Linked DNA regions of Macaca fascicularis. The protein of the gene in region 1 interacts with the protein of each later gene in a biochemical or structural test. Links are inferred from orthologs where the notes say so. Each region holds a gene or a part of one and is shown on either strand. Other genes may lie near its edges.

Region 1 (5,786 bases):
AATGATCGACTTCTCATCTGGCTGGTCCACATTCACATCTGCAAGAGCGGACCATTTGGGTCAGGCCTCCCAGAAGTACATCCACAACTTGCATCAGCTACCCCAAACCCTGGGCCTGCCCAGTCCTCCAAGGCTGACATCTCTCCATCCCCTTTTAGAGCAAAATGACAACTTGGCCATTCAAATGAAAGGGGCACCAAAAGCTCACCTTTTTTCCCTTCTTCTGGAAACAAGAAGGGCCCTCCAAGCAGAGCACAAACCCCAGAAGGAGGCTTTTACTCAGAGTTCCCCATGGAGACCAAAATTAGTTGTTTGGGGAAGAAAAGCAAGAAAAGAGACAGCATTGCTACGTGGGGATGGATCACGGACTTTTAGGCTGGAACAATGTTTAAGAAATCAATGGAGGCCGGGCGCGGTGGCTCACGCCTATAATCCCAGCACTTTGGGAGGCCGAGGTGGGCGGATCACGAGGTCAGAAGATTGAGACCATCCTGGCTAACACGGTGAAACCCCATCTCTACTAAAAATACAAAAAAATTAGCTGGGCGTGGTGGCAGGCGCCTGTAGTCCCAGCTACTCGGGAGGCTGAGGCAGGAGAACGGTGTGAACCCGGGAGGCGGAGCTTGCAGTGAGCTGAGATCGTGCCACTACACTCCAGCCTGGGGGACAGAGCGAGACTCTGTCTCAAAAAAAAAAAAAAAAAAAAAAAAAGTCAATGGATTGAGGGGCAGCAGGACAGAAGGTATGAACTAAGCCTCCTGAACCTAAGATGCACAGAGCAATGGGCCCTGTGATCCCCGCAGCTCAGTGGGGACAGAGGCCAGCTCTCAGCACCATCTCCAGGTGTGATCACACTGTTTCTAACCTCAATCCCAAACCTCAGCTGTGGGCCCAAGGAGGGGAGTGTCTTTCAAGCCGAACTGGCTTCCACCACACAACCGAGGCTGACCGTAACTTGAAATCTATGGGTTCTTTTAAATAGGCCAGATTTTATCCTAAAGGTAAGACTATGAGACTGGAAGCCTCTTGCCCATTTCTGGAAACACGCAGGCAGGCAGGAGCCACTGAAGTCATCTCGGAAAGTTACAGAATGCTTAGCTTTATTTCCAGGTTCTGAATTACAGCCATGCTGCCCAGAGGCTCTCTAAGGAGCACTGCATGAAGCCTATGTCTGTTGCTAGCTCGCTGACACTTGTCATTCTGGAGTAAAAGGGTCCAGGTGATAGGGCTACAGGTAGAATGGAAAACAGGGAGAAAATGGCCAAGACCAGCGAACATCCACCCAGTGAACTTCAGGAGCACCTCCAGCAGGGGAGTCACTGGGCCCTTCTCTCCTCCCTGTTCTGGCTGCACCAAGATTGGTCTCCACTCTACCAGAAGCAGCAGAAGAAACAGGCTCTGGAGCCAGGCTGCCTGAACACCAATCTCAGCTCCATCTGCCGGAGGACTTGGGCAAGTTGCTCACCCATTATAGGCCCCCATCGTCTCTTCCATAAACTGAGGATAACAGTACTGATTTCAAAGGGGTATTGTGAAGATTAAAGCATGTCAAGTGCAGAACCAGGTACCAAATAAGAGAAAAATCGCAGTCGGGTACAGGGGCTCACACCTGTTATCCCAGTGCATTGGGAGGCCGAGGTGGGCGGATCACAAGGTCAGGAGTTAGAGACCAGCCTGACCAACATGGTGAAACCCCGTCTCTACTAAAAATACAAAAACTAGCCGGCCTGGTGGCATACGCCTGTAATCCCAGCTACTCGGGAGGCTGAGGAAGGATAATTGCTCGAACCCAGGAGGCGGAGGTTGCAGTGAGCTGAGATCGCGCCATTGCACTCCAGTCTGGGCAACAGAGCGAGACTCCGTCTCAAAAATAAAAAAAGAGCCCAATCGCTGTTACTGATCTCATCTATCTTGTCAGCATTATGACCAGAACCACAGGAACCAATCAGCAAGGTCAGCTGACCACAGGCCAGGTCTGGGTAAGAGTGGAAGGTCATGCAGCTTAATTTTTTTTCTTTTTTTTTTGAGATGGAGTATTGCTCTGTCGCCCAGGCTGGAGTGCAGTGGCCGGATCTCAGCTCACTGCAAGCTCCGCCTCCCGGGTCCACGCCATTCTCCTGCCTCAGCCTCCCGAGTAGCTGGGACTACAGGCGCCCGCCACCTCGCCCGGCTAGTTTTTTGTATTTTTTAGTAGAGACGGGGTTTCGCCATGTTAGCCAAGATGGTCTCGATCTCCTGACCTCGTGATCCGCCCGTCTCGGCCTCCCAAAGTGCTGGGATTACAGGCTTGAGCCATCGCACCCAGCCGCTTAATTTTTTTTCTTAAAAATTTGTTTTAAAAAAATAAAGACAGGTCTCGCTGTTGCCCAGGCTGGAGTACAGTGACTATTGACAGGTGTGATCCCACTACTGATCAGTGTGGGAGTTTTGACCTGCTCCATTCTGACTTGGGCTGGTTCAGTCCTCCATAGGTAACCTGGTGGTCCCCTGATCCCAGGAGAACACCAATGCTGAACTTAGTGTGGATACCCAATCAGCATAGCCCACTGCAGCCTAGAACTCTTGGGCTCAAGTGATCCTCTCACCTCAGCCTCCCTAGCAGGTAGCACTACAGGCAGGTACCACCGTGGCCAGCAACATGTAGCTGAATTTAGAATCCTAGAATTTTCGAAGAACCCTTACAGACCAATTCTGTCTTTTAAGACATGAGGAAACTGAGCCACAGAGGCCAGCCACTGGCTGTATGTCACAGAGCTCCTGTGTGCTCTGCCCGGGACACAACTCACAGCCCAGTGCTCTTTCTGTCACTGGGCTGCCCTTCTTCTGACCTACAGTCTTTTGTTAGAAAAAACTGAGAAATGATTTTCATAACACAAAATTCACCCTTTTAATGTATATAATTCAGTGGTTTTCAGTGTAAAGATGTATTTTTTAGGGGGAGGGGTAGTCATGGGGTCTCAGTATGTTGCCCAGGCTGGTATCAAACTCCTGGGCTCAAGCGATCCTCCTGCCTTGGCCTCCCAAAGTGCTGGGTGTGAGCTACCCCATGGTTTTCAGCATATTTACAAGCTTGTGTAACTATCACCACTTTCTAATTCCAGAACATTCTCTTCCCCCACCAAAGAAGCCCCTGTATCGGTTGGTGGTTACTCCATGTCTTCCCCCTCTGCGGCCCCTGGCAACCACTGGTCCACCTCCTGTCTCTACCCTACCACCTCTTTTTCATATAGCTCTGGCCCCACCTTCAGGATCCAGCAGCTTGGTAAGTCCCAGTTCCTTTTCAGCCAGATTGAATGCATTCTGCAGATTATAGTGCGCATTACACTTCTTCAGAGACTCAAAATCCAGCAGGTCTGGCCTGGGTGGGGAGGAAAGACAGAAGGGATCAGAAACATGTGAGATCTTAAAGAGGAAGAGGAAACCCACACCAATCTTTATCCCTAAGTCACCGACCCAATTTTGTCCAGAAGTAGGCATCCCAAACCCACACTGCTGCTCATAGCCCCTCCCCATACCGCCTCCCCTGCTTCCCATCACAAGCGCTCTGTGCAGTCCTGCACCCCCACGTTCTGGTTCTGCTCCGAGTGCTATCCCTTCCTTCTGACTGCTGTGCAGCTCGTCTCATCTCTGTCTCCACATGTGCAGCCGAGGTCACTAGACGACCCCATCTTCTCACCGGTGTTTATGCACGATGGCGTTGAAGGCTAGTCCATCTCTCCAGCTGGTGGTGAAGTTGTGTACATTGACGTTGGGATAACTATAAACAGAGATTCGGAAAATGGTGAGTAGGGCTGAGCCCTGGTCTGTGATTCCAGGGCAGTCACCAGCTCATGGTTCCTGGAGCCCAGCACAGCCTGGGGGTCACTGACCCTCCAGTGCCACATGCCCAGGGCATCCTCACCCTGCAGTCTTCATCTGGCACCACAGAAGCAGGGCATCCTTGGCTGACTTCTTCTCCTTGTTGTCTTCTGTCTCCACACTGATGTCTTGGATCTAGGAAGGAAGCAAGCAGGGCCCTCACTCCCTGGACAGGAACTCCTGGTGTTATCAGAGATGCTCAGCTAAATGGCAGGAAACCACTCTTTAGACGGTGGTAATGGGGTGGACAGGCATAGCCTGAGGTCCTTTCAACCTAGGCCAGGGACCACAGAACACTGGGTGGAAGGGGTTTGAGGCAGCAGATTAGGGTAGGATGCTGAAGAATGGATGTGTCCCTGAGTGGAGGTGCTGGTCCCTCCAGGTGGGGAACTGCAGGCAGAAGAGTGAATCTTTTCTGAGAACTGGCTCTCCAAGGTGTCTGAAAGCTGGCTTTCCAAGGTGAAGCCGACAGAACCCGGGAAGGAAGAGGGTGATCAGGAAAGCTGTGATGACATGAGGACACTGGGGCATGGGAAGGAGGAGGGTGACTGTTCCACTGGGGGAGGCCAGCAGAGTTTATGGCAGGGGATTGGGGCCAGTGACCAGACCCTCTGGAAGTTCCCAAATCCCTTGTGGTGAAGGACCAGTTTGTAAAACTTCTAGTCCCTTGTGGACCAATACACAGAGCAGCGCACAGGGAACCTGCCACAGGGGTTTGCCATTCACCCACGCTGGTTTCTACCCTGTTGAAGGAGGGGAGTCCACTGATCTGGTGCTTGGATAGCACCACAATAGCAACTGCTACATAAGGTTCTAGATCCTCCGTCTTTGTGTTTGTTGTGTCACGGGCCAGCAGGAACGGTCTGTGGTGCAGAATCAGGGCAGGAACCACACCCTGTGCGACAGTGTGCTGGGGTACCTGGAATCGAAGGATGATGGTCCAGACCAGCCCAAGGGTCAGTCGGTGGTTTCCGTCCACAATGTCATGGGAGCCCATGTTTTCCAAGTGCACTTTCTGCTCCTTGAGGAACTGCAGTGCCTTGTCCACGTTCTCCAGGCAGTGGATCCGCATGCGGCCCTTTGTGGGCTTTGGCTGTGGAGGGACGGGGGCAAAATGGCACGGGACTGTGGGCTTCCACCTTCTTCCCCAGCCTTCCCAGGGCCCGGCTTTGCACACCTTCCCCATGACCTACCTCAGGAACACAGGCACAGCCCCAGGGCTGGAGCCAAAGCTGAGGTTACAGATGAGGCTTGGGCAGATTAAGATTCCCAAGGGAATTAATTGCACCCAGAGTAGGTGGAAAAAGAAATGTTTTCAATGGGGCCACTGTTCCTGTCTCCACGAAGCAGTGCTCCTATGTAATCCAAGTGGCAAAGGCGCTCGAAATGAACCCATCCTCTGAGCAGGGGGAGCCACTGCTTCCCGCCCTATGCCGTCACTCTCTCTGAGGGCTGTTCCTCCAGCTGGTCCCCTTGGACACTTTTCTGAGGCCCCCTCTTCCCTTCATGACCACAGCTCACCAGTGTCTCTCCCGAGAGCACCTCGAGGAGCCTCAGCAGGTTGCGTCCATCCCGGAGGTCGCTGTACAGGTCCCCCACCCGGCACGTGACCCGGGCCAGGTGCGAGTTTACCCACTTGGTGAAGGTTTTCTTCTGCACGGCTTCTCGTTCATCTGCGGTGGCAACATGGGGTTATTTCTGTCCTTCGAGTTCAGCATGCCTGCTTCTAAACACCAGTTGGCAGGGGTGGGGGATGGAGGAGCCTGAGAGATTTCGGGAAGCGGGGTCCTCCAAGGAGGAGGAAGGGAAGGCAGATGACCAGGAGGAAAGCCCGTAACTTGGAATGAGCTCATAAGCAAGGTAAAGAAGAAAGATGAAAGACAGAAAACAGGCTTTGAGAAGAAAGGATGAAGACCTTGGAAACCGTG
Region 2 (5,786 bases), on another chromosome or scaffold:
ACATTAAGTCAGTCTCCTCTAAAGATTATAGTTTCCCTGAAAGATCATGCAGGGGGCCCTCTACCTAGTACCCTGCCTCATCTGGGTATTAGAACTGCCTTCCTTTGGCGTGAAGAGGGAGAATGAGAACTCAGCCTCCCTGTGGCAGACCTAGACCTCAGGGTCAGTGTACAGGCTGGGAACCTGGTGCTGCCTGTAGAGCCATGGCTGCCTAAAGAGCTTGGGCAAAGCTAGAGGGAAGCTACACCAGGTGGGACTCTGTCCATGGAAGCCCAATTCCACCCAGGCCAGGCCCCACCATGCTCCTACCCTGATCTTCACATCTTTTGGAGCTAGTTTCTTCACTTCACTCAGTAGCCTGTCACCAAAACCTGAACAGGCAAAGAGGAGAACTTCAAGTCAATTCTCGGGGTGCCTGGAGCCAGCAGGAGCCGAACACTTCCAGGGCAAGGGCTCCAAGAGAAAAGACCAACCTTTGAACAGGGTAGAGCCTCCTGAGAGGACGATGTTGGAGAAAAGCGTGCGTCGCAGGTCCATGTCTGACTTCTGGATGGCGAACACCAGGACCTCGTGGATGCCTTCACTCTCCTCTCCAATTAAATCTGGCCTGAAGAGCAGCTCAGGGGCCCGGAATCGGGAAGGACCAATCTGTAGGTAGGAGGACCAGCTGAAGATGTTGGAGCTGGGACCAAGGTCCCTTTGGGAGTGGGAATGGAAGAGGCCCCTCTGCACATCACTTAGTAACTAGGTGGCTATGAAGGCCAGGCTCAAGACAGACTCTACATGTTAAGAGCTTAAAGGAACAAAGATAGGGCTCCTGGAAACTAGTGAGGGGAGGCTCCTATATTTCATTCTTGCTCTGGCATTTTCCAGCCAAGAGGTCTTTGGCATCAATTCATGGATTTATTTACTCATGGAAACGTCTTCCTAGCAATGGGGGTTCAAAGGAGTGGTAACTCACCCTACACTGCGCCCAGGTGTGGTGAAGGATAGCACTAACCATCCCACTTCCTAATCTCATACTGATGTGGGACAATCCCTTAGCAGCTTCCTCCCCTCTAGCGGGAGGGAGCAAGGTTCCTGCTGCCTCCTCTGCAGGAGACAGGGCCATTCATGCTCAGGAGCTCTGCTGCTCCAGACAGAGGGTGTAAAGCTGGGGTGTCCAATCTTTTGGCTTCCCTGGGCCACAATGGAAGAAGAATTGTCTTGGGTCACACATAAAATACACTAACACTAATGATAGCTGCTGAGCTAAAAAAAAAAAAATTGCAAAAAAAAAAAAAATCTCATAATGTTTTAAGAAAGTTTACCAATTTGTGTTGGGCCTTACTGCAAGCCATCCTGGGACACATGCAGCCCATGGGCCAGGGGCTGGACAAACTTGGTGTAAAGGGACTGGCCTGCCAGACTCCAGACCTTCATGGGGAATTCTGTTTGGGCCCAGAGCTTCTGTGGACCTAAGGGGACCGAAGAAAGAAGGCAGGCCACCTACCTCAATGGTGCTGCCATCAGGCAGGTAGTACTGAGCCTTCTCTGTCTCTAGCGTCTCATCCTTCTGGGGGTTTATGGATAGGTAGCAGGCTCTCTGCAGAACCAAGCAAGACAGTCAGGCTGGCAGGAAACCTGGTGCACACCCGGTCAAAGGCCCAGGGGAGGAATGTGCTGCTGCACAAACCTGTCTACACACTGTGATGGCCCCAGTGGTCACTATAGCTGCTGCCCAGAAGCAGGGGCAGGGAGGTCTCTGTTGGCCTTCACTGGGTGGCATTTAGCATACGAGTTCTTATCTGCTCCACCTTCCTGGTGGGCAAGCTTGGAAACTTGGCCTCTGGATCCTAGGTCTGAGACCACAACCTAAGTTCAGACCAGGCCCAGGCATCTTTCTCTTTCTACCACTCATATGGTTCTGGTCCTCCTCAGCTCAGAGGTTTCCCTATAGCCACAGGTGGCAGGAGGGTTCTTTTTACTTACAAAGACAAATGTTTTAAATGTATTATGACTTCTTCAAGGATGTTAAAAAATAAAAATAAAAAAACCAGGACTGGGCACGGTAGCTCATGCCTGTAATTTCAGTACTTTGGGAGGCTGAGGCAGGCAGATCACTTGTGGTCAGGAGTTCGAGACCAGCCTGATCAACATGGTGAAACCTCGTCTCTGCCAAAAATACAAAAATTAGTGGGGTGTGGTGGCAGGCACCTGTAATCCCAGTCACTCGGGAGGCTGAGGCAGGAGAATTACTTGAACCCGGGAGGCGGAAGTTACAGTGAGCCGAGATCGTACCATTGTACTGCAGCCTGGGTGACAGAGTGAGACTCCATCTCAGAAACAAAACAAAACGAAACAAAACAAAACCCTATGTAATTTGCATATTAGGTACAAAAAACATGCTGAGCCTCTATGTAGCCATCACCCAATTGAAGAAATGGAAGCAGCTCTCTTTCCCCCAATAAGATGGCAGCACGTCAGGAAGGCGAATCTGTCAGTGTGAAGTGGGGGAGACCTGGCTGGAAAGAACAGGGCCTCACCAGGGACCCTCAGGTAGGTGCTTCGCCTGGCTTTACTGGCAGGTGACCAAGGTCTTGGATGCTATGCTCCCAACCCCCACTCCATCCCTAGGCCCAGGGGGCAGCACTTACTTCTTTTATGGCCTTGACAATCTCAAACTCAGAGGATGAGTGGAAGTCGTAGCCCTCCTTACGCAGGTAGAGGCGCAGGAAGCGAGAGACGTCCCGGCCCGCGATGTCGATGCGCATGATGGAGTGGGGCATGGCAAAGCCCTCATAGATGGGCACAGCATGGGTGACACCATCCCCAGAATCCAGCACCACGCCTGTAGTCCTGCCTGTGGCATAACTGAAGCAAAGGGGCAAATCGTCACTCAGCACTGCCTCCTCACGCTGGGAGGAAATACACTTCTTTTTAGAGTTCAATGTCAGCTAAACTAAAGCTTGGGCCTGCCTCTCTCCAGGGGCTGTAGAATGGACTGGGTACTAAGGAAGCCTGGGTGTTGGAACAAGCCATGAAATACCTGAACGGAAGGAGCTGAGCTTCTCCAAGTTCCCTCCCTGCACCCAGAAGAGCAGGCCTTCCTGTCTGAGATGGCCTGGCCTTCAGCTGCTTCAGAGACCCAGCCTAGGGCCAGTTTTAACTCTCTAGACAAAAGGCAAAAACCCTCAAATGCCAACAGGGGCCAGGCAGGAAAAGTAAGAGTAAAGAAAAATAAGAATATTTTTCACTTCCATAAAAAATGAAGGCAGGAGAAGACCCTGCCTTACTGGTTTGAGAGCCTGGGGACCTTTGTCAGCCTCCTTCCAAAAAAAGGCAAGTGAGGCAACTGACCCCCTGCTCAGGGCGGGGAGGCCAACAGAGCATGGGCGCGCTGTGGGGAGGGTGGGTTTGCCAGCCCCATCTCAAGTGGCAGCCGCTCTTTAGCTCTAGCTGATTTTTGCCCTGTGGGAATGTGTGCCCGGCATTCCCAGATCTTCCCATTGTTTCAGAGAAGCCAAAAATTTAGATTTTGATGGGACAGCTCTTGATTTTTAAATGCTGGCTCACGATTTGTTAATGGGGTCAAATAAATCCCATGTGTAGGTCACTCATGGATTATCTCTGCCGTAGACCTCATCCTGGTATGAGGTGGGGTAGGAGTGTGACAGGAGCCATGGGGGATGGGAACAAGGACTGTGGTGGCATTCGGATCATGGTTGTCTCAGCAGCCTGGCGGAGCAGCCGGCCACAGTAAATACTGAATAATAAGCGGACACATTACAGGGGCCTCCGGGAAGAGCTGCTGCAGCATGTGGCTGCCTCAGCAGGCCCAGCCAAGGCCTTGGGCACCAAACCCACTAGGAGTCCTAACACTGGCATATGGTTAATAGCAGCCACATATCCTTCTTTGCTTTCAACTACGAAGCCTAAGTGCTCAGTTTCAGCAAAAGCCTCTCTCTCTTTCCTACCATCTTTAACCTTTCCCTAGCAGAGGGGGCTCAAGTTACTCTGAACCATCCCAGAGGGGAGTCAGCCTCAGCTGTGCCAAAGGACTGCTTTCCCCGCAGGGGCCGGGCTAGCCAGCTGCTACTCACAGGCTGAGTACAGCTTGCATGGAGATGAAAAGAGCGGGCACATTGAAGGTCTCGAAGAAAACTTCGGCAGCTCGTTCCCGGTTTTTGCGTGGGTTTAAAGGCGCCTCAGTCAGGAGCACAGGATGCTGGTGAAAGGAGCCCGGGAGACAATGAGGCCAAGGACAGATTTCCATCTTCATTAGTCTTGGGGGAGAAGACCCTGCCTTGCTGTTTTGAGAGCCTGGGGACTTCTGTCAGCCTCCCTCCAAAAAAAGGCAAGCTGTGCCTGTCACCTATCCCTACCCAAGTAGGTTTCTCAACTTTTCAAGTTAATGCCCCCTTTAAAATTTCATTCTGTCCTCAGCTGTGCCCTCCAACTCCCCTCTTTGTCCTCCAAGATTGTTATACAGGCCCCTGTGTCTACTGCATATCTCCAACTGTCAAGAAGATTTTGTGAAACTCTAAATTCCTGCCGCAGACCAGTACCAGTCTGTGACCTGTTAGGAACCAGGCCGCACAGCAGGAGGTGAGTGGCAGGTAAGTGAGCACTGCTGTCTGAACTCCACCTCCTGTCAGGTCATCAGAGGCACTAGATTCTCATAGGAGTATGAACCCTACTGTGAACTGCGCATGTGAGGGATCTAGGTTGGGCACTCCTTATGAGAATCGAATGCCTGATTATCAGAGGTGGAACAGTTTCATCCCGAAACCATCTGGCTACCCCAAGCCCCCACCCCCATGGAAAAATTGTCTTCCAAGAAACTAGTCCCTGGTGCCAAAAAGGTTAGGGACCACTGCTTTAAAAAAACTGTCTGAAAACAGCCAGGCACGGTGGCTCACGTCTGTAATCCCAGCACTTTGGGAGGCCGAGGCGGGCAGATCATCTGAGTTCGGGAGTTCGAGAGAGACCAGCTTGACCAACATGGAGAAACCCCGTCTCTACTAAAAATACAAAATTAGCCAGGCATGGTGGTGCATGCCTGTAATCCCAGCTACTCAGGAAGGCTGAGGCAGGAGAATCGCTTGAACCCAGGAGGCGGATGTTGCGGTGAGCCAAGACCGTGCCATTGTACTCTAGCCTGGGTAACAAGAGTGAAACTCCGTCTCAAAAAAGCAAGCAAACAAACAAACAAACAAAAAACAAAACTGAAAACATCCCACCTGCACCTGGAAATTGATACACCTAGTCTGCACCTCTCTGCATTTTTTTTTTTTTTGAGACAGGGTCTCACTCTGTAACCAGGCTGGGAGTTCAGTGGTGCGATCTTGGCTTACTACAAACTCAGCACCCCCAGGATCAAGCAGTCCTTCCACCTCAGCATTCCAAGTAGTTGGGACTACAGGCATGCATGATTACACCGGGCTATTATTTTTTCGTATTTTTAGTACAGATGGTGTTTCGCCATGCTGCCCAAGTTTGTCTCGAACTCCTGAGCTCAAGAGATCCACCCAAAGTGCTGGGATTATAGGTGTGAGCCACAGCGACCGGCCTCCCTTTGCATTTTTGAATGGAGAGTTACTTCCTCACAAGTTAACAAGCACAGGCTGTACACAGTGGCTCACGCCTGTAATCCCAGCATTTTGAGAGGTGGAGGTGGACAGATTGCCTGAACCCAGGAGTTCGAGACCAGCCTGGGCAACATGGCAAAACCTTGTCTCTACAAAAAATACAAAATTGGCCAGGTGCCATGGCTTATGCTGTAATCCCAGCTACTTGGGCGGCTG

The links.
Region 2: the proteins of SPTBN2 (region 1) and ACTR1A form a complex in vitro, tested with the Homo sapiens proteins (2 studies listed by BioGRID). The link is inferred for Macaca fascicularis from reciprocal best matches to the Homo sapiens genes SPTBN2 and ACTR1A.

Annotation. Positions count from the first base shown.
Region 1 is NC_088388.1:7,675,672-7,681,457, reverse strand, and holds part of SPTBN2 (spectrin beta chain, non-erythrocytic 2), read right to left. Parts: intron 5,532-5,786; coding exon 5,380-5,531; intron 4,952-5,379; coding exon 4,778-4,951; intron 3,994-4,777; coding exon 3,902-3,993; intron 3,758-3,901; coding exon 3,677-3,757; intron 3,359-3,676; coding exon 3,243-3,358; intron 39-3,242; coding exon 1-38. UniProt on the Homo sapiens protein: Probably plays an important role in neuronal membrane skeleton.
Region 2 is NC_088383.1:111,491,173-111,496,958, forward strand, and holds part of ACTR1A (alpha-centractin), read right to left. Parts: intron 4,208-5,786; coding exon 4,083-4,207; intron 2,854-4,082; coding exon 2,637-2,853; intron 1,586-2,636; coding exon 1,493-1,585; intron 649-1,492; coding exon 474-648; intron 372-473; coding exon 310-371; intron 1-309. UniProt on the Homo sapiens protein: Part of the ACTR1A/ACTB filament around which the dynactin complex is built. The dynactin multiprotein complex activates the molecular motor dynein for ultra-processive transport along microtubules.